3 linked regions of the Macaca fascicularis genome follow. The protein of the gene in region 3 interacts with the protein of the main gene of each other region in a pairwise test. Links are inferred from orthologs where the notes say so. Each region holds a gene or a part of one and is shown on either strand. Other genes may lie near its edges.

Region 1 (6,364 bases), on a different chromosome or scaffold from region 3:
ATTTCATGTTCTCTTTCATTTTGCTATAAAGCATTTTTTCTTTTGACTAAAAGCAAAGTGAGAAATTATATTTTTTTCTCCTTTTAATTGACCTCAGAAGATGCACTATCTAATTCATGAGAAATGCGAAATTTCAGGTGTTTATCTTCTTCCTTACTTTTAGGGTCTACAACCAGCATGTCTTCATGGCTGTGAAATTCATGGCTGTGGAATTCATGGCTGATTTTGGAACGTTCCTGACTGTCAATCACATCGGAATGCTCATTGCTGTCATCACTGGCTTTCCGCTTATATAATCTGGAGTGCTTGTGGCTGTGGGTTTCAGCACTGTGGTCATCCAGCTGACTCATTTCATGACTGTCCTTCCCACGGCTGTCCCAATCAGAAGGCACGTTCAGGCCCTGGACAACTGGGATGGCCTTGTATGCACCATTCAACTCCTCGCTTTCCACATGTGAGGTGATGTCCTCGTCTGTAGCATCAGGGTACTGAATCATGGCACAAATGAAGAAGAATTATATGAACAGCTAGGGATGGGAATACGGTAATCCTTTTCTGCTCTCTAGCTTTTAGGCCATCTTATACTAAAAATTGGCTAAATCTGGCTGAAATTATACTAGCATGTTACTTTGTATAGTACTTTACCAAGCCGTTTCACATATGTCGTCTCCTTTAGTTTAATAAGTACATCACTTACATATGTAATGAAACTTATCAGGTAGGTTTCATTATATTGAAACCTACATAAAGAGGAAGTGAATTGGAAGTTAAAAAATAAAGAGAATAGTAAATGGCAAGCCTATGTCAAATCCAGGTTCTGTGACTAAGGATTCAGTGTAATTTGCAACTACAACTCCTCTTAGGTATTTAACTTCGAAACATGACCATTATATTTTTTTTAAATAATTGGTGTTTTCCATTCATTTTAATCTAAAAATAAGTGATCCAGGATTTCAAAAAGTAGAATTGTGTTTGAGAATCAAATCTAGAGAGAAATTATGTACTTACAAAAACCACCGAGCAGAAAAAGATTTGTATTCAATGATCATAAAGTAGAATATGAATGAATTCTTGCTGAATGGATGAATGAATGGATGAATGGATGAATGAATGAATGAATGAATGAATGAATGAATATGCAAACTGTGGTTTCCTAGACTTGAGCTCTAGTCAGAACTATCAGGTGTGTCTGTTAAAGGATTTACCTGGATGTCAGGTCTGCGGAACTTCTTAGATTTTGACCTCAGTCCATAAGCCACACTATCACCTCGGCCATCATATATGTCTACTGTGGGGACAACTGGAGTGAAAACTTCAGTTGCTGGCAGGTCTGTGGGAAAATCAGTAACCAGTTCATCGGATTCATCAGAATGGTGAGACTCATCAGACTGGTGAGAATCATCAGTGTCATCTACTTCATCAGAGTCATTCGAGTCGATGGAGTCCTGGCTGTCCACATGGTCATCATCATCTTCATCATCCACATCATCCATGTGGTCATGGCTTTCGTTAGACTTACTTGGAAGGGTCTGAAAATTAAAATGGCCAGGAAAATTAGTGTGTGGGTTTTTATTTTCCCTTAGTCTTCATAGCACATTAGTCTTTTACTATCTTTCTTTTTATTTAGTTTCAGAATCTTTGCATTCACAGTATATACCATGGCTTTTAGGAGCTAAAGTGAGCATCTTCCAATTTCTCTTTTAACACAGGGATTAATAACATTCTGAGGAACTTTTCCTACTTTCCAACAAAAATTATTTTCATAGATATTTTCAAGCCAAATATGTGAGTATAATCTTCATATCAATAGCATTGTTTTGCCTTATACATATTAAACATTATTTAATTTACTAAATTCAATGATGTAATAGTTACAGACACATAATTATGAGACTTTTTAAAATTTGAAATGAGATTTATCAAAAGAGAAGAGTATCCCTATTTTAATGTGTGTACTAAAATCTATAACCCCTTTCCTATTAGCATGGATAATTGAAAGGTGACTGTTATGCATGTGTGTATAAACTGCAGCTCAAAACTGTCCTTGAATTAAACAATTAATGTCCATTAAATTTCAGATTGACAAATATATTGGGTAATTTAACTTGATTTAATATTCTTAGTATATTCAAATTGAATCTTAAGGAAAATAAATTTACTCTTTGCTTAGCAAATATATGAATGATCCTAATAAAAAGAATAGTTGTCAAATAAACTATTTTTTTAGGAAAGAGAACTTTCCTAAAGGCAAAATCTTAGCTTTGATAGGCATTAATTAGATGCTTATTAGATATTTGATATCTACAAAATACCTTAAATAAATTGCAATCAGCTTAATGTTTCAAATAACAGGCATTAATGAACATTTTCTGTAATGCTAAACATATCTGAGGAAACCTAGTATTTCTGATATTTAGTAAATACATGTTTTCTTTCTGAGCAAGTTTTAAAGACTGCCAATTTACTGGAAAATTAGCTAATGAAATTTCATCAGAAGAGAATCCAGGCAATGGCTTCTTTCGTTTCTTCAAGGTATGATGGGCCTCTGATTGAAAATGAGAACTTACCTCTTGTTTAAAGTCATTGGTTTCTTCGGAAGACACAGCATTCTGAAGAAGGAATGGCACATGTTAGTGTGCATCACACATACCTAGCTTTTTTATTCAAAAGTTAACCTTTTTAATCCAAAGCAGTTTTTATTTTTCTGCCTCATCTGTGGATGGCTTAACACGGGAAGAAGCCAACATGGCAGATCAGTCAATGTCCTAAGCACATGCTTGCCGGCGGGCAGGCAGGATTCATCTGAGCAGCCCAAATGGCCTGCTTGTAGCTATCTTTCATCGTTGTAGTTGAATTATGAGAAGTTTAAAAATACCTGTGGGGCTAGGAGATTCTGCTTCTGAGATGGGTCAGGCTTTAACCATGTGGCCACAGCATCTGGGTATTTGTTGTAAAGCTATAAAAAAGTTGCATGTTTATCATTATTAAAAAAAGAAACGTAGGGATGAATGGAAGAAACAACCATTCTTCACCAGTCTTGATGGATAAGCATAATATGCATGCATATAGTCACTCAGACCCTTAGGTACCTTTTTGTAATTTTTTTTTTCTTGCAGATTCATTTAATACACTCTTATGTAGCACTTAGTGTGGGCTAGGCACTCTTTCAAAATGCTTTACAAATATGAACTCATTTGATCCTCTCATTCCCCTATGAGATGGGTATCATTAATATTCCCACCTTACAATCAGCCACAATGCAGTTAAGTGGTAGGAAATGGCAGAGCCAGGCAGGATTCAAACGCAGGCAAACTAGCTCTTAACCCTGAACTTCACACTATGCTTTCTTTTTGTATGTTTGCTGGCTGAATTTTCCTCTCAGATAAAGCACATCTAAACCAGACGTGCCTTTAATTACTGTTGATCTTCACTGTGTCCAGTCCATGGAACAAGAAGGAACTCTCTAAGGCTGTGCTGTCTAATACAGTATACTCTAACCACATGGGGCTATTTACATTTAAGTTAATTAAAATGAAATGGCCGGGCACAGTGGCTCACGCCTGAAATCTTGGGAGGCTGAGGCAGGCAGATAATGAGGTCAGGAGATCGAGACCATCCTGGCTAACACAGTGAAACCCCCTTTCTACTAAAAATACCAAAAAAAAAAAAAAAAAAAAAAAATTAGCCGGGCATGGTGGCCGGCACCTGTAGTCTCAGCTACTCGGGAGGCTGAGGCAGGAGAATGGCGTAAACCCAGGTGGCAGATCTTGCAGTGAGCCGAGATCGTGCCACTGCACTCCAGCCTGGGCGACAGAGCGAGACTCCATCTCAAAAGAAAAAAAAACGAAGAAATAAGATAAAAATTCAGTTCCTCAGTTGCACTAGGCTACATTTTGAGTACTCCATAGCCATATGTATCTGGCAGCTATCTTACCAGACAATGCAGAAATATAATATTAAAATCATTGCACAAAAGTTCTATAGCTCTAAGGTGCCAAAGATGTAAATGAAATGGATTTTTCTTTAGCCAAGTTATTTATCTGGAAAATACTGATAATATGCTACTGCAGAGGAGTGGAAATTGCTCTGTGTAAGTGTCATCTGATCTGCTGAATCATTCAGGGCCAATCATTACATGTCCCTGTCATTCAGAATAACTCTGGGGGTTGTACAGAGTCCCTTCTGCAGCCACCTAAGGGGTAGATGGGTAGAGAGAAAACCAGTCAGAAGTACTAGAGTTTCTCTCATGGCTGGCTCTAACCAGAGGGGCTTCATACTGGGCTTCTCTGAAAGGTTTTGCTGAAAGAAGGGGTTCCTTGCTTTAAGAAGATGCAAAAACAGCTGGGCGCGGTGGCTCACGCCTGTAATCCCAGCACTTTGGGAGGCTGAGGCCGGCGGATCACAAGGTCAGGAGATCGAGACCATCCTGGCTAACAAGGTGAAACCCCGTCTCTACTAAAAATATAAAAAATTAGCTGGACGTGGTGGCGGGCACCTGTAGTCCCGGCTACTCGGGAGGCTGAGGCAGGAGAATGGCGTGAACCCAGGAGGTGGAGTTTATAGTGAGCTGAGATTGCGCCACTGCACTCCAGCCTGGGCGACAGAGTGACAGAGCGAGACTCTGTCCCAGAAAAAAAAAAGAAGATGCAGAAACAATGGGACTAGATGCGTTCAGAGTTTTTCTCTTCACTTTTTCATATCTATCTATCTATTCTCATGACACATGTAATACAGGCTTGGAGAGAATGGATTTATAAATTAAATTTATAATTTTTAAAACCTAATGTGAAAAAAATAAAGGTAAGCAAAATGAATAGACTAAAAACCACCCAGTAATCCTAACACTCACAGATAACCAGTGTGTATTTTCAGGCATATATCCTTAGAGACTTCCCCAATTTTTTACTAGCTTTAAGTTTCTGGGATTCTAGAAGGCTGGGCCTTGAGCCTTCTAGATTTCTTAAATTGTTATGACTCCACGTGCCTTCTAAAATGCATCTTTGCCATGTTTTCATTTATTAAAAAGGCACTAATTCTTGCCTGAAATAGTATGACCTCTATCTTCTCTGGAGATGTTAATTTTTCTGCTTTATTATTAGGAGTCAACATCTGTGTTTTCAAATCAGTTGGAAAACAGACACACACACCCCCACACACAAACACACACAGAATACTTCTTTTAATGTCTTCATTAAGAAATCTAATTGCAGTGACCCCCAAGGCAACTCTTATTTTGGCCTTTATTCTGTTCAACTGGAATTGAACTCTGTGTGCCTTTTTGTCCAAGCTGCTGGGGACAATGCCCATTTGTTGTTTGGTTGGCACGGTTTCATCTGTTGTGGAGGGGTAGGTACATCTTTAGTGCTGGTCAAATAATTATAATAAAGAGTTTGGTTGGTCTTATGTTTGGTTGGAAAATGTGATCTAACATCAGCTGACAATCACAATAGATACAAACAGCACACATAGACTTTCTTTTCACAATGGGCTTCTCAGCTAATATCTCAGACGATATTGTGAATATTATGGTCATACAAACAGTTCTGACTAATATCTGATGTGAATTTTAAACTTAGCAATCCACTAAATAAAGCAAAAGCTGGAATTTTCTGCTTTTAGATCAATATGTGGACTAATGGAAAAAAAGTCACACAGCTTCGTATAACTCTATCTTACATGCTATACTGGCCTAGACATTATTATATTTAAAATATCTGGGTTGGTTTTACAAACTTATATTTATTAAAAACTATACTGTGCTTGGTACTGGCCTAGATTCATAGCAGGCAGTCAATAAATACTTGTAAACCAATAGATTTGACTGAGAAGATAAGTAATCTTGCAGCAAATATGTTTGTTGCGCCTCTCGCTGTAATTGAGTAAATGATTTCACTATGTAATAAACCTAAAAGATGCTTACCTGCTTTTCCTCAGAACTTCCAGAATCAGCCTGTTTAACCTTTGAAACAGAAAAGATGAAGAAAGATTACAAGAATGTCCTCCTAGCACATAGAAGCACATAATTCAGTTATTTTCAGGAATTTTCTTTAAGATTCAGTTGTACTCACTGGCAGGGCATAGGCGATGCCTAAGAGGCAAAAGGAAATCACTGCAATTCTCATGGTAGTGAGTTTTCCTGCAAAACATTTCATAAGGAATAGCTGACATCCTCATAGGTTAAAACAATGGTACCTTTTTGTACTACCACATTACAAAATAATCACAAATAAAATATATTTTCTGTAAAATCTTTTCTACTTCTTAGAGAAGCCTTTTCTTTTTAGTATTATGGTCTTTCAAGTTAATATTTATATTGCCACCTATTCTCCATCTTTATTAGGTAAGGGAAAGGGAAATTTTACAA
Region 2 (7,283 bases), on a different chromosome or scaffold from region 3:
TACTCAGGAGACTGAGGCAGGAGAATGGCTTGAACCTGGAAGATGGGTGATCACACCACTGCACTCCAGCCTGGGTGACAGAGTGAGACTCCGTCTTAAAAAAAAAAAAAAAAAAAAAAATCATCCTTACTGAACCATTTCATAAGCTCTACTTTGTCTAGTTGGATTTCATTTCTTCTGGAAAATTTATTTTTTATTGGCATGTGACCCTTAACCAATGGCTTCATTAGCATTTTGTTTTTCTTTTTGGATCCTTAATAGAAAACTCAGTTGTTAGGGATTTCCAAATAGGATAGGGCAAAGTGGCACTCAGTATATCCTCCACAGAAAGAAAGAAGCAAAATCAAGCCAAGAGGGCCCTTTATTTGTCCTCTTGCTAAGTTAATAGACTGGTGGGATGGTGGTAGATGCAGAAACAAAAATGTAAGGGCAAAGGGTCCAAATGGGGAGGAGGAAAGCAATGATAGCCAGGCCTGTCCTGCTCATTCGCGTTTATTCACATGCAGACCACCCATGATCTGGTCTTCAAATTTCTTCTGAACTCCACCCCACTAAATATAGTAGCAGTTACTACTTTACTACTAAAGCACTTGTTCTCCAAATGACCTGAGAAATCCCCCCGCCTCAGCTCTGGGACAGTAGTTCCTACAGCCATAGGGAGGTCTGTTAATGTACCTGGCTGGACAGGAGGTACAAGAGTAAGTACTTTCTCCTCTCACTTGGTGGAACAGGCCAAGGAGATCCCCCAAGTACAGCATCAGCTTCACCCTGAGTACCTTCCTCCAGCAAAGGAAGGCCTGGCCACAAGAGGGCTCTGGAATGAGGGCCTGAAATTCAGAAGCTCTGCCTTGAGATAAGAACCCGGAAGGGGCAGGACCAGGCACTGGGAACCAGCCCCAGGTTGCTGGGAAGCAAGGCTTGGAGGCATTTTCCTGTTGTACAAAGGAGCCCAGGAACCCTCAAAGACTTTTTCCCCTGCTTACTTCCCACAAAAAGAGCCTTGACAAACCAAGGTTTTATTTCCAGCAACATCCAGCTGATAGAAACACACAGAAATACAATCTAACCAAAGAGCTAAGAAGCCCTCCAACACACGCCCAATTTCAGCATACAGCTAAGACCGCACAACACACACACAGGCTCAACAAAGAGCTAAGACCACTACACACATCTCCATAGCACCACGAGCACATCTCAAAAGGGTCTGTCCAATAGTTCCAGCCAAGGGAAGGGTGATGGCCTGAGCCACCAGCTCCAGCTTTCTTTTCTATTCTCTTTCCCTTTTTTTTTTTTTGAGATAGAGTTTCGCTTTTGTTACCAGGCTCCCGAGCAGCTGGGATTACAGGCATGTACCACCATGCCTGGCTCATTTTGTATTTTTAGTAGGGTTTCTCCATGTTGGTTAGACTGATTTTGAACTCCTGACCCCAGATGATCCACCTGCCTCGGCCTCTGGGATTATAGGCGTGAGCCACCACGCCCAGCCTCCAGTTTTCTTTTCTTTAGAGCAGTGGTTTTAAATATTTTTCACTTCACGTTCTCTGAAAATTTACTATGCTCTCCACAACAAGAGCTCCCATTTTCCACAGACACAGTCAATGTCAGGCGGCTTGTATTCAAGAGGAGGACAGGGCAGAGGGACTTCCCATGGGAAGACAGAACAGAGTGGGCCCCAGAGATGGAAGGACCCCAGTGTCATCACCAAACAACCATTTCAGCTGCTCTAGCCTCTAATCCCTACTCTAGAACAGCTGGCCCCGGTCCTCGGTACACAAGGAAAGAGCCCAGAACCAAGCTCAAGATCCCTATTTAAAGATCCCTGCCGGCCAGGTGGGCAGTTGAGAGCAGATTCCTGGGAGCCCCACCATTTTTGCTGTCTGTTTAGAAGGGAAGTCAATGGCATACCCAGGATTCCTACCTGATCCCTCATAGAAATGGGGAATAAACACTTTAAACAAGTTCCAGGCCACTCAGCAGTGGTAGGAAAGGAAGGGAGAGAATGAAGGAGGAAGGGGCACATAGTTGACATTATTAAAAACACATCCTAAGAAGTAGGGGGCCGTGTGGGGTGTAGAAGACAAATAAGGCATCCTGTGAAACTACAGACATCAGGGGCCAGAGTCCGGTAGCACCTGAGTGAGGCAAGTGCAGATGACAGGCGGTGAGCCCGACCAGGCTCACACCAGGAATGACGAGGTCTGTTTGAATTCCCCCTGCAGAAATAAAACATCCGGTCAACTCTCAATAGTCTTCTTTAGCTGATAATCCCCAAAACACATAAACATGGGCTAGAAATCTCCTCACTCCAGCCCCAGGTAGCCCACCCCTGCCCAGGGCAGGCATACTCACTTCACTTCGAGCACTAGGCTGGCTGTAAATCACCTTCTTACTCGAAGTCCTGTGAACAAGCCAGAAGACAGAGACACTCAGCCACCTAGGTGCTTATTACCTCTCCTTGCCAACTTTAAAGGCCAGAACCGAGAATGCTACAGAAGCACAGAGTGCGCAGCAGAAAGGCATGGGTGGGGGGAAACAGGACAGGCCCAGGGCCGAGGGCACAGAGAAAGGGCTGGATATCCAGATGCCTTCCCTCCAAACTGGTTGCTTCTGCCTTCAACCCATTCCCCCGGGCCCACTTCAGCTTCAAACGGCATGCATCCCTGCTCTCAAACTTGGAGAACCCCAGGACAGCACCTCACTCACCCTTTCTTTGTTCCTGAAAGAGAAGAAATGGGATCATGAGTGACAGCAGGACAGAAGACAGCATGGCTTGGGAAGATGGAGGGGCAGGCCTCATCTTCCCAAGGTGTGTGTTCGATGGGTGATCAGTGTTCCCCAGGGGACAACACCCACACACATGAGCACAGTATCAGGGTCAGTACTCAGATGACACCCATGCCAGGCCCTGGGATGGGGGCAGTACAAAGGAGAGCCTCTGGGGGCAGATACTTACTGTCAAAGTGGCCTCGGCTATAGGCAAACCAGATGCCAAAAATCAAGATTCCCAGGAGAATCAGGGTTACAAGGACAGCTGCCACGATGACCCCCACATTCCGCTCCACTGTGAGACACAAATGAGAAGTCAAGCACCAGGATACTCACTCACGGTACCAACAGGATCACCAATGGCAGGATGAAAAGCAGACGCCGATCCCCACCCCAGGTCTGGGCTCAAGCCCTAACTCTCACCAGCTTCCATGCGCACAGCATTTGATGTCATGGGTGTCCCATACCCATTCCGTGCCTCACAGCTATATTCTCCAGTATCAGAGGCTGACAGGGGATCAAAGACCTGAGGGAGGAAAACAAATTGGCTTCCTGCTTGAAGAAGCAAAATAGCCATTTTTTAATGTCTCCTGACGCCAAACCCAAGTTCACCCTGCTGCCTGTTCTTCCTCCCACTTTTTGGGGTTCTATAACTGCATGCCCCACACATCTTTCACCACCACCCCATCCATACCAGCTCTCCTGTTGTGGGATTCAGGACATAGGAAGAGTTGCTGAAGGCACGGGTACTCTTGGGATTCGTAGGCATCACAATCCCATCTTTGAACCAGGTGTATTCAGAAGGTGGGGAACCATCTTTTTCTGAGCATGTCAGCACTGCCCGGTTCCCAATGGTGGCAGAGGAGGGGATGCTAACTGTAGGCTTGGATGGAGGCACTGTGGAAGAGAAAGACAGAAGGTGCTGAGTACAGGGTGGGGGCTGCTTGAGTCTAAGTAACCAACTAGAATGGTACCCCCATCTACTCAGCTCAAGCCTCCCACCCTCACCATGCCCCTGGTTGCCACCTAACCAGGGCTTATCCCCTCTCTGGCAGCTCCAGGACTCTGAATAGCCCCACCTGTGGGCATTCTCACCATCAAAGAGCTCCAAAGCTCAGCAGAGCCTGCTATGGGAAGTAACTAACTCCAGGCCCACCCAGAAGATATGTGGCACATACCAAGCACGATGAGCTTGACCTTGACCTCCCCATAGTTGTTGCCGCCTTCCTCAGAGACCATACAAGTATATGTCCCGGTGTCCTCCCGTGTCACAGACTTGAAGGTGATACCACTTGGCAAGAAGGTCACTCGGTCCTCATAGGAAGCTACCACAAGAGGAGGCAAGGGCGAGGACAGAGTGAACTGGAGAGCTAAGGGAAGCTGATGAAGGGGGCATCCAAGGTACGCAAGTGCTCTCCTCTTCCCCCAGAAAGGGGAGTGGGAAGGCCATGAGGACTTGAGCCCCAGGGTATGCCCTGGGATAAGGGCACAAAGCCTGGATCGTAGAATCCAGGCATGATAACCCCTCCACAACCTAGGCAATCAGGAAGGAGGAGAAGCAACTCACCTGTGATCTTGTTATTATAGCAGACGAGTTTGGTGGTGTCTCCTTGGTCAAACTTCCACTCCACACGGGGAGAAGAAAAGCCCGAGTAGGCACAGGACAACTTCACAGCTGCAGACAGGGTCAAAATGAGCCAGAGGAGGAATCAGCAGCAAATACACGAGATGGGGAACAGCCCTAAACTGCAGGCTGGGCTGGGTGCTCTCTAGGTCCCCAGACGGCCGGCAACTACTCACCCTCACACCCTCGAGAGCCACCCTCCACAGCCCCTCCCAACTCACGATTATTCTCAGGAATTCTGACTTCAGGTTCAGAAGAGTGCACTGTAACACTGCCCAATGCCAGGGAGCCTGAGGAGAAAGAAAGAGGTGGGCCCTGTCAGGAGTGAGCAGAGAAATGCCAGGAAGAGGGAGGCACAGACCCAGCAGACAGGGCTTCTCCACTCACAGACCCTAAGCGGAAGGGATTCCAGACTCATGCTCCTCCTGACTCTCACACTTTGTCACCATGATCCTAAATGTCTTCTTTAAGTGCTTTTTGCTACAATTGCAGGCTAATACTTCTTTTATCAATGGAAATCTCTCAAATGCAGCTTCTTTTGCTTCTAATTTTTCTCCCTGTGACTCCCAATAATCTAATTAGATTTCTACTAGTCCAAGGGCAGCTTCCAGAATGACATTTCACCATTCAGAGAAAGCTTCTCAACAAATGATTGCAGCCACTTGTCAAGACAATCCTGGAAGGAAGCCAGCAGGGCTGGAGGCAAGGGATGGAAGGGAAGGGCAGAGCCATAATGAGGATAATAATAATACTCGACATTTGTGGAGCATGTGGTGCTTTTTAAAGTGTTTTTGCATACATTATGACACGCTGCATCATTTGATCCTGGAAACAAGCATGACAGATTGGCAAGGCGTGTATTATTATCCCGTGTTTACATGAGGAATTAAGAGTACAAGAAGTAAATGTGCCTAATGTCATACAGCTGGGGCCAGGCCCGGTGGCTCAGGCCTGTAAACCCAGCACTTTGGGAGGCCGAGGTGGGCAGGTTATGAGGTCAGGAGTTCGAGACCAGCCTGGCCAATATGGTGAAACCCCCGTCTCTACCAATAATACAAAAATTAGCCGGGCGTGGTGGCACGCCTGTAGTCCGTTACTTGGGAGGCTGAGGCAGAAGAATCGCTTGAACCAGGGAGGCAGAGGTTGCAGTGAGCCGAGATCGTGCCACTGCCCTCCAGCCTGGGCAACACAGCGAGACTCAATCTAAAAAAAAAAAAAAAAAAAAAAAATCACACAACTGGTTCTAAGGTGAAGCTGGCACTAGAAGTGGGTTCAGATCACCTCACTAGAATATTCTACTCGACAGACGGACAAAGAAAAGGTAGTGTGTGCTGGGTGGAGGGAGGGAGGAGCAAAGAGGCTAATTAAGTAATATGGGGGAGATGCATCAGGGTTCACGGGAGGGACCCACAAAGGTCAAATTAAGCAGCAGTGACGGCCGGGCACGGTGGCTCAAGCCTGTAATCCCAGCACTTTGGGAGGCCGAGACAGGCGGATCACGAGGTCAGGAGATCGAGACCAGCCTGGCTAACACGGTGAAACCCCGTCTCTACTAAAAATACAAAAAACTAGCCGGGCGAGGTGGCGGGCGCCTGTAGTCCCAGCTATTTGGGAGGCTGAGGCAGGAGAATGGCGTAAACCTGGGAGGCAGAGCTTGTAGTGAGCTGAGATCCGGCCACTGCACTCCAGCCTGGGTGACAGAGCGAGACTCTGTCTCAAAAAAAAAAAAAAAAAAAAAAAAAGAAGCAGTGACCAGGGATTCTGGGACCACACGGTGCAGCTACAAACCTGCACTTACACAATTATTCTCATTCACGTTTTCAAAGTCAAATTCATGAAATATCCTTTTATTCATAGCTTCAAGTCAGGACCCTGTCTTAGATAAATGTAGAATTCAAACACATTTGTTGAATTCAAGTACATTTTTCCTTTACTTAATTATGCACATAACTGAATATGGTCTCTTGACCTCTGAGATTCCCCTTCCTCTCTGAAATATGAAACAGATGTGCTCTAAAGTCCTTTAGGTTCCTTTTTAATTTTGGCATTGATGTTTAGACAATGTCTGTATACATGTATTTCAATCTGACATAATAATACTATGGGCCGGATGCAGTGGTTCACGCCTGTAATCCCAGCACTTTGGGAGCCCGAGGCAGGTGGATCACGAGGTCAGGAGATCGAGACCATCCTGGCTAACACGGTGAAACCCCATCTCTACCAAAAAAAATACAAAAAATTAGCCGAGCGTGGTGGTGGGCACCTGTGGTTCCAGCTACTCAGGAGGCTGAGGCAAGAGAATGGTGTGAACCCAGGAGGCAGAGCTTGCAGTGAGTCGAGATCACACCACTGCACTCCAGCCTGGGCGACAGAGCCAGACTCTGTCTCAAATAAATAAATAAATAAATAAATAAATAAATAAATAAAACAACTTTATTTTTAAAAAAAATAACACTATGAATTAGTCCAGATAAGTATTCTCTCTCCCACTTTATAGATAAGAGACTCAAGATATAGGTTACTCCTATATCCTTTTTTTTCTCTTATTATACTTTTTTTTTTTTTTCTAAGACGGAGTTTCACTCCTGTTGCCCAGGCTGGAGTGCAATGGCGCTATCTCAGCTCACTGCAGCCTCTGCCTCCCAGGTTCAAGTGATTCTCCTCAGCTTCTCAAACACTGGGATTATAGGCACTTGCCACCACACCGGCTAATTTTTGTACTTTTAGTAGAGATGGGGTTTCGCCATGTTGGCCAGGCTGGTCTCAAACTCCCCCTGCAGCCTCCCAAAGTGCTGGAATTACAGGCGTAAGCCATGGCGACCAGTCTAATTTTTTTTTTTTTTGAGACAGAATCTCACTCTGTCGCCCTGGCTGGAATGCAGTGGTGCAATCT
Region 3 (7,981 bases):
GTCCCGTGATTGTTTGCTCTACCAAGGCCCAGGAGGCTGCACCCATTGAAATTCACAAACTGTGGAGGGTTGCTTGAGCCCAGGAGTTCGAGAGCAACTTGGGCGACAAAGTGAGACCCTGTCTCTAACAAAACAACAAAAGATAAATCTACACGCTACACGGAGAGGGAGCGAGGCGGCGAACCCGAGGACCTGGGGACCTCGATTCCCACCCTCTGCCCCGCTGGAAGTTTATTCTGGTGTCTGTGTGAGCAGGGAGCAGGCTCAATTTTTTCCCAAATAATTAACGCAGGTGTCTCCCCCCTGGCACCGTGGGCATCTTGGGTGGATGATTCTGTCCTGCGCATGGCAGGCAGCTGAGCGGCACCCCTGGCTCCCCCCCATGCACGCCTGAAACACTCTCCGGCTGAGACGACCACACACGTCCCCAGACGCTGCCAAACCGCCCCCAGCTGTAAATCATGGCGGCCACTAAGTGGGAAGAAGAAAGGCTGGAAGTCAGCACGGGTCAGCTTTTTCTGGCCAGATGACTTTGCTGTGAACTTTCTGAAAACCTTCTGTTTGCAGGGTATTCTGGGTGTCAGAACTGCGGTCCGTGGTGGAGGACAGCTCACCTACGGTAAGCACGGCCCCGCCCTGCACGTGACACAGGCCGGGGGTGCTAGGACCTGTGGCTTCTCTGCCATCCCCAAGGTGGGGGACATCATCAAACGGTTCTCAAATCTGCTTCAGCAGCCGGGCTCTCCCGTCAGAAAGTTTTCTGCTCTTCGGAGGGAGGTCCAGCAGGCATGAGGACGCATGTTCCTCAACTGCCGTTTGGCACTCGCTGTCTCTGGGACAACCACAACTTGGAGGGTTTGGCTGCGGGACAGCATTCTCAGAGAAGGCCTGCTGTGTCTCCCAACAGCGACGGCTTTATGGGTGCGCAGGAGCCATGGCCGAGGCCTGGTCTCAAGGCAGAGGCCGCACAAGTGAGGGTGGGAGGAGTGCTGGCCCGTGGGGGTGGCGCCAGCTCCCGCGTAGGGGCCTTCAGTGTCCCTTTCGGCTCTGAGCCGAGGACTCCACATCCCACCTTTTCATTTTATCATTAAAATGAAAACAAAATCAAACCACGGCCCCCTCGGTCAGGGGCGGGGGCTCACGCCTGTAATCCCAGCACTTTGGGAGGCCGAGGCGAGAGAATCGCTCGAGTCCAGGTGTTCGAGACCAGTTTGGGCTATTATACAGTGTACAGTGAGACCCTACAAAAGAGACTCCACCAAAAAAAAAAAAAATTAGCCTGACGTGGCGGCACACATCAGTAGTCCCAGCTGCTTGAGAGGCTGAGGCGAGAAGATCGTTTTGAGCCCAGGAGTTGGAGGCTGCAGTGAGCTGTGACTGGGCTCTGCACTCCAGCCCGGGTGACAAAGTGAGACCCTGTCTCTAAAACCAGACAAAAAACTCACAACCACCTCTCTTCCTTATTTCCCTGCCCAGAATGGATCATTCAATGGAAAAAAACAGAATATCCTCGTAAACTGAGGCCATCTTACCTCCTTACACTCCAGTAGGAAGCGCCCGCTCTTGCCCACCGCCTTCTGTGAGCACTCTGCCCGCCTCCATCCCAAATCCACGTTGCTTCTCACCAACAGCAGGGCAGGAAAGCCAGGTGCCCTGCTCCTCACTCCCTCTCAGGACACCCGAGTTCTAGCTCAGTCCCCTGCCCACTCCCCACATCGAAGTCCACTTTCTTCTAAAATGCCACCAGGAGGTCACTGTACACATAAAAGCCCTCAAGTGCTCCCTGGAACCCCAGGAGTGTGCATAGGAGGCCCCCCCACCAGCTGGGGGTCGTCTGTGGGGCCTACACCAAACCCTGTACGTGCCACTCAAACTCAAGTGCTCACCTCTCCTGCCCAACTCTAGGAGAGAATCTAGTATTCCTGCAAACTCCATCTCTGGCCCAGCATCTCTTACAAGGCTTTCTACCTCTTGACAGACCCAGCTTCCCTTTGAACGCCAGCATCTGGCAGCGTCTAAACCCTATGGACTCAGGAAAGCCTTCGATGGTTGAAAAATTCACAGACACGTGGTCAAGTTCCTTGAAATGGGGAGGCCATTTCTCTCTGGGTTTCTGTTTCCACCTCAGTAAAAGAGAAAACGGGCCAGGTGCAGTGAGGCACGCCTGTAATCACAGAACTCTGGAGGCCAAGGTGGAGGATCGCTTGAACCCAGGAGTTTGAGACCAGCCTGGGTAACACGGTGAAACCCTATCTCTAAAACAACAAAATACTAAAATTAGCCGGGTGTGGTAGTGCACACCTGTAGTCCCAGCTACTCAGGAGGCTGAGGTGGGAGGGCCTGAGCCCGGGAGGTCGAGGCTGCAGTGAGCGGAGATTGCGCCACTACACTCCAGCCTGGGCGACAGAGCAAGACCTTATCTCAAACCACCCCTTTTATGCCTTCGGCCTGTACCGAGCACTTCCTACCAGGGCCACTGTTGGGTCTTGGCAAAAAAACAACCATAGAATTGAGTAAGACTGCCGCTCTCAAGGATCCGTCCAATCTGGGGCAGAGCTCACCCCCATTTGGAATCATTCACCCTTCTAGGAAGATTTAATTATAAACCTCAGCTCAAATCCTTGGCGCGCTTACAGCTTTCCAGGCACCCAGCTAAGTGCTGTACATGCGATAGCTTATTTTAGGGGTCAGCAGAGGTTTTTCTGAAAAGGGCCAGACTGTCTTCAGCTCGGCAGGCGCTAAGGTCCCTACGGCAACTGTTCAACTGTGTCTTCTTAGCTCGAAACCAACCACAGGTAACATGCAAACCAAGGAGTGTGGCTGTGTTCCCACAAACCTTCATTCCCAAAAACAGGCCAGAGGTGGATTTGGCCTTCTGGTTAGCTGATACCTTGCCCGGTTGAATCCTCACACACCTGAGGTGGTTACTTTTATAATCCCCATTCCACAGAAGAAAAACTGAGGCTTGGAAAGATGGGAACCACCCAAGACCACCCAGCTAGGAGGATGCAAATGAGGCGTTCTGAACCCAGGCAGCCTCACTTGAGAAGCTAAACTCCAAAGTGCCCACTTCTCGCCACACAAAATTGGGTGCACACACAAAACTTTGTATACCATTTCCCGGGCCCACACACTCCCAGCTGCCCATGCTGGGGAAGAATCACTGATCTAGGGTAGGTTTTTTTTGTTTTTTGGTTTTTTTTGACAGGGTCTCGCTCTGTCACCCAGGCTGGAGTGCAGTGGCGTGATCTTGGGTCTCTGTAACCTCTGCCTCCTGGGTTCAAGGGATTCTTCTGCCTCAGCCTCCTGAGTAGCTGGGATTACAGGCGCACGCCACCATGCCCAGCTAAGTTTTGTATTTTCAAGAGAGACGGGGTTTCACCACATTGGTCAGGCTGGTCTCGAACTCCTGACCTCAGGTGATCCACCCGTATGGTAGGGTGTGGTTTTTAAAGCGTTATTGACATTCAAAGTTGGATCGTTTTCTGGGGTGGGGCCGTCCTGGGCACTGCAGGGTGCTGAGCAGCAACCCTGGCCTCCACCGACTCCAAACCAGGGGGTCCCCTGAATCGTGAAAAGCACAAATGTCACCAAGAATCTCTGGGGCACAGAATTGTTCCTGGTTGAGAACCACACTGGTCAAGGGAGGGAAAAGGCAGAGAGAACGAATAATCAGAGACAGAAGCAAAAGTAAACGGGACAATGATCCAACCTCTGAGAGGCACATTGCACTGCAATTTTCTGCCACCTAATAACAAAAACAGCTGTTCTCAAGCCAGCTCTCTCTTATCAAGTTCCAGGCACCTGATCAAATCATTGAATGTGGGCTTATCCTCATAATGACCCTCCCAGACATCTGCTTTTACAACTCGTTTACGAAAAAGAAGGTTTGCTCAGAGAGGGAAGGCAACTCATCCAGGTTTACACAGCGGGTGGGTGGTGGTGGTGGGCTGGTTCTGAATCCCAGATTTCCCCCACCTCTAGCACGATATGCAGAAGAAGACTCTAAACATGAAATAAGACGAACGGCTGCTAATTCTTTGGAGTTCTCAGATTCCGCTGGACCCTGCGGCGGCTCTCATTCTCCCAGGCAGGGACTTCTGACAACGCCCGTTTTACAGACGGGAAAACTGAGGCTCCGAGAAGCCAAGAGGCTGGGCAAGGTCACCCAGGTAGGGACTGGCGACGCTGGGACCAGAGCCCCGACTTGAGTCCCCACAAACGGGGGTCCCCGAGTCACAGGGACGACTTTTCCAGGCAGTTAGTAAGAGCGGAACGGCAGCGAACACCCAGCGAGCGCTCAGTACATGCGGGGCGCCTTCCCCTCCAGCCGTCCTCGCCACCAGTCCGCGGACCAGCATTTCCAGGACCTGGGGCCCGGGGAAGGGAGATCAGGGCTCGAAGGGCCTGCCGATGCCGCCCGGCCTCAGTTTCCCCTCCGCTCCGCCTACTCACAGGACCCCGCGGGTCGCGCTGACCCTGGCCTCACGATCCCCAACCTCTTACGGGCTCTGGGGCCCCGTGAGCCCCGAGTCGCAGACCCCACACCCGCCAGGCTCAGCACAGTGCCCCTCACTCACCTCTCAGGCGACCGATCCCCGACCCACCGACGGTTGCGCTTGCGCACCGCGGAGCCGCCCGGCCCCGGCCCCCGGGCGCGACGCCTGCGCAGAAGAAGGGCTCCCCGGGTTGCTTCCCTTCTGCACAGGCGCGTTAATGATCGAGGTGGGCGTGGAAGGAAGTGACGCAACGTAGAGGCGGGAACCAGCTGGTCGTTAGGGCAACTGACCTCTACGACCTAATGGAGGCCGGAAGTCGGGGCTGGTTTGCCCTCTAGGGCGGGAACGAAGCGGTGCACGGTGGAACAGTGGCTGACTCCAGCCGGTCGCCGAGCTGACCACGTGGTGCTGGGCCGGCCACGTGGTGCAGCCGCGTTTGGCCACCTGGACTCCAGAGCGTCATAGCCCCGCAATGAATGGGAGTCAGTGTTGTCCGCTCGCTATCTTTGTTCATTTATTCACCCACCCATCTACTCACCCACAAATGCATTCTTTCATGCAGTCAATTTATGAGACGCTTGTGAGAATAGAAACATTAGTAGGCAGCAGGTGCCTAATATTCCATATTTATTGCAAACCAGTCATAAAAACCAGCAAAGTGTCTACTGTCATTATTTTGCATTGGGGTAGACGAACTATAAACTAATAAACTAGTACATAAGTAGATAAACAAGAAATTTCACAGCTAACACTACAAAAAAAATGAAGGTGGTGTGATTGCCACCGGGAGCTAAGTTGTATGGTATGGGTAGGAAAGATCATCCTTTAGATTTGGATTTCAAGGATAGGAAAAAGTCCAAACGGACCCCAGGCACAGGGAACAGCAAAAATGAAGGCCAATGTAAAAGCTTGGTGTGCTCAAGACATATGGAAAAAAAAATAGAGATGAGAGATGAGAAATTTCCAAGGACGACAGAAAACTGATCACCATCTGAGTTATAATTGACAGAAATGTTCTCCCAATTCATTGTTGTCCTACTCGAAATACATGCACGATTAATGGCGTGGATTATTTTAATTTCTTTTGCAGAAATAAAGAAGGTGAGACCGGGCGCGGTGGCTGACACCTGTAATCCCAGCACTTTGGGAGGCCAAGGGGCAGATCACTTGAGGTCAGAAGTTCGAGACCAGCCTGGCCAACATGCTGAAAACCTGTCTCTACTAAAAATACAAAAACTAGCCGGGCGTGGTGCGGGCATCTGTAGTCCCAGCTACTCGGGAGGTTGAGGCAGGAGAATCGCTTGAACCCGAGAGGCAGAGGTTGCAGTGAGCCGAGATCGCGCCATGGTACTCCAGCCTGGGCGACAGAGTGAGACTCCGTCCAGTCCCTCCAAAACAAAACGAAACAAAAACAAAAAACATAAAAGGAAAGGAGGTCGGTTGCTTCGTTTTTGCCAGTTTAATTGTAGTACATTGTTTTTTCTGGGTGCCATAACAGTTCAAGACAGACGGTTCCAGATGTTTTTTGTTTCAACCCACAACACTGGATGTAGGTCAGGTTACTGCACTGTTCCAAAACACCTGTTATTTGACATGAATCAGTTTACTTGCTTATGTTTCTGACAAAAAATAAACCTTGGCCGGGCGCGGTGGCTCACACCTGTAATCCCAGCACTTTGGGCGGCCGAGGCGGGCGGATCACGAGGTCAAGAGATTAAGACCATCCTGGCCAACATGGTGAAACCCTGTCTCTACTAAAAATACGAAAATTAGCCGAGCGTGGCGGCTCGCGCCTGTAGTCCCAGCTACTCGAGAGGCTGAGGCAGGAGAATTGCTTGAACCCGGGAGGCGGAGGTTGCAGTGAGCCGAGATTGCTGCCACTGCACTCCAGCCTGGGCGACAGAGCGAGACTCCGTCTCAAAAACAACCAAACACCAAAACTTCTGGTTAATGTAATTGATTCGTCTGATTCAGATGCTGGAAAGTGGGCCTGGGATACAGTTAGCGATCGATAATAACACTGGCCCAACACACAGCTATAAGAAGGGAGGCAAGCACACAATAACACGGTAGCCTGAAGCCCAGGCGAAGTTTCCGCGGAAAGAACCGCTCAGACAGAGGCTGAGAGGCGTCAGCGGCGTGCGGTTTCCAAGGAAACCGTCCTTTCTAGCCACCGCAGCGGCTCTGGAGGGGTACCGCAAGAGGCTCCGCCCACGCAACCCCGAGACCAATGACGGACTGGGAGGGTTGAGCGCATGCGCAGAGAGCTCCAGCGTCTCGGCCCGCCTCCTTTAGGTGTGGGCGGGGCTTGGGCACGCGTGCGTCCTGCCCTCCCTGTGCACGCGCCGCCCCAGCATGCCCCGGGTGCGCAGGCGGCGGGTCGCTTGGTCTTCAGGCGGCCGTGGCGGCGGTGGCGGCGGTTGGGCCGAGAGAGGCGGCCTCAGTGGCCGAGGTGGCTGGACGCGTAGCAGGTGGAAGGAGGGAGGGAGCCGCAGGCGCAGACCCACCCGCCATGAAGCCCCCCGCAGGTACCGACTACCCCGCTCGCCGGACCCGGGCTCCCCTGCACCCTCACTCCTCCCGGGGTCGCGACTTGGGCCTAAGGCTGGAGCGGAGTGGTCCCCGAGCCACCCTCGGCCGGGCTGGAGGGGCAGCGGGGGAGGTGGGCGACCCCGCTCTCTCGTTTGCAGAATGAACGAACCAGCTTTTCCAGCGCTTCATTCATTCTGCAAAGTTGATGGCGCTTCCCTTCCGGATGGGTCGGGCCCCGTGGCGAACCCTCGGGAGGCCGTGATTTGAGGACTCCGGTCCCCGTTTTCCCGGAATTCTAGAGCCAGAGACAGACATTCAACAAGTAAATAAGCAAGAGAGGATCGAAGATAGGGAGGGATCGGTGCTCTGGAGTAAATAAACACGAACAGGGCAGTCCCAGGGAGCAAATAAACACGAACGGGGCATTCCCAGAGAGAGGTTGGTCCTGGGGGGCTTTTCTGAAGAGGTGAGCCTTGACTTGCTTGATTGGGAGAAGCAGGTGTCCTGCCAGCACCGGGGAAGGAGGCGTCCCGGGAGGAGGGAACGTGTTTGGAGAGCAGAAAGTCAGTTTGGCTGGAACGTAAAGAGGGGACCTGTTTATTGTGTTATTTATTTACTTTGGGGCCCAGGCTGGAGTGCAGTGGTGCGATCACGACTCCCTGCAGCCTGGAACTCCTGGGCTCAAGCAATCCTCCTGCCTCAGCCTCCTGAGTGGCTGGGACTACAGACCTGCACCACCACGCTTGGCTAATTTTTGTAGAGATGAGGTTTCGCTGTGTTGCCCAGGCTGGTCTTGAAGTCCTGGGTTCAAGCAATCTACCTGCCTCGGCCTCCCAGAGTACTGGGATTGCAGACATGAGCCACTGTAGCCAGCCAAGACCCTTTTAATTTAAAGGCAAAGGGGTGATGTTGTGTTTTTTCTTTACTTGTTTATTTATTTTTTGAGACAG

What was found. The genes of interacting proteins can lie anywhere in the genome.
Region 1: the proteins of SGTA (region 3) and SPP1 interact in binary tests that used the Homo sapiens proteins (3 or more experiments, as listed by UniProt). The link is inferred for Macaca fascicularis from reciprocal best matches to the Homo sapiens genes SGTA and SPP1.
Region 2: the proteins of SGTA (region 3) and F11R interact in binary tests that used the Homo sapiens proteins (3 or more experiments, as listed by UniProt). The two-hybrid records come from large-scale screens. The link is inferred for Macaca fascicularis from reciprocal best matches to the Homo sapiens genes SGTA and F11R.

What each region holds. Positions count from the first base shown.
Region 1 is NC_088379.1:93,532,727-93,539,090, reverse strand, and holds part of SPP1 (osteopontin), read right to left. Parts: intron 6,137-6,364; 5' UTR 6,123-6,136; coding exon 6,069-6,122; intron 5,960-6,068; coding exon 5,921-5,959; intron 2,957-5,920; coding exon 2,876-2,956; intron 2,610-2,875; coding exon 2,568-2,609; intron 1,530-2,567; coding exon 1,206-1,529; intron 489-1,205; coding exon 84-488; 3' UTR 1-83. UniProt on the Homo sapiens protein: Major non-collagenous bone protein that binds tightly to hydroxyapatite. Appears to form an integral part of the mineralized matrix. Probably important to cell-matrix interaction.
Region 2 is NC_088375.1:100,070,471-100,077,753, reverse strand, and holds part of F11R (junctional adhesion molecule A), read right to left. Parts: intron 5,594-7,283; exon of another isoform or gene 5,488-5,593; intron 4,681-5,487; coding exon 4,612-4,680; intron 4,442-4,611; coding exon 4,334-4,441; intron 4,092-4,333; coding exon 3,945-4,091; intron 3,664-3,944; coding exon 3,461-3,663; intron 3,293-3,460; coding exon 3,190-3,292; intron 3,062-3,189; coding exon 2,954-3,061; intron 2,717-2,953; coding exon 2,704-2,716; coding exon of another isoform or gene 2,700-2,703; exon of another isoform or gene 2,399-2,699; coding exon 2,350-2,398; intron 2,214-2,349; coding exon 2,178-2,213; 3' UTR 1-2,177. UniProt on the Homo sapiens protein: Seems to play a role in epithelial tight junction formation. Appears early in primordial forms of cell junctions and recruits PARD3.
Region 3 is NC_088393.1:3,461,980-3,469,960, forward strand, and holds the start of SGTA (small glutamine-rich tetratricopeptide repeat-containing protein alpha), read right to left. Parts: upstream 4,622-7,981; 5' UTR 4,581-4,621; intron 1-4,580. Other genes in the region: THOP1 (thimet oligopeptidase), read left to right, coding at 7,012-7,027. UniProt on the Homo sapiens protein: Co-chaperone that binds misfolded and hydrophobic patches-containing client proteins in the cytosol. Mediates their targeting to the endoplasmic reticulum but also regulates their sorting to the proteasome when targeting fails.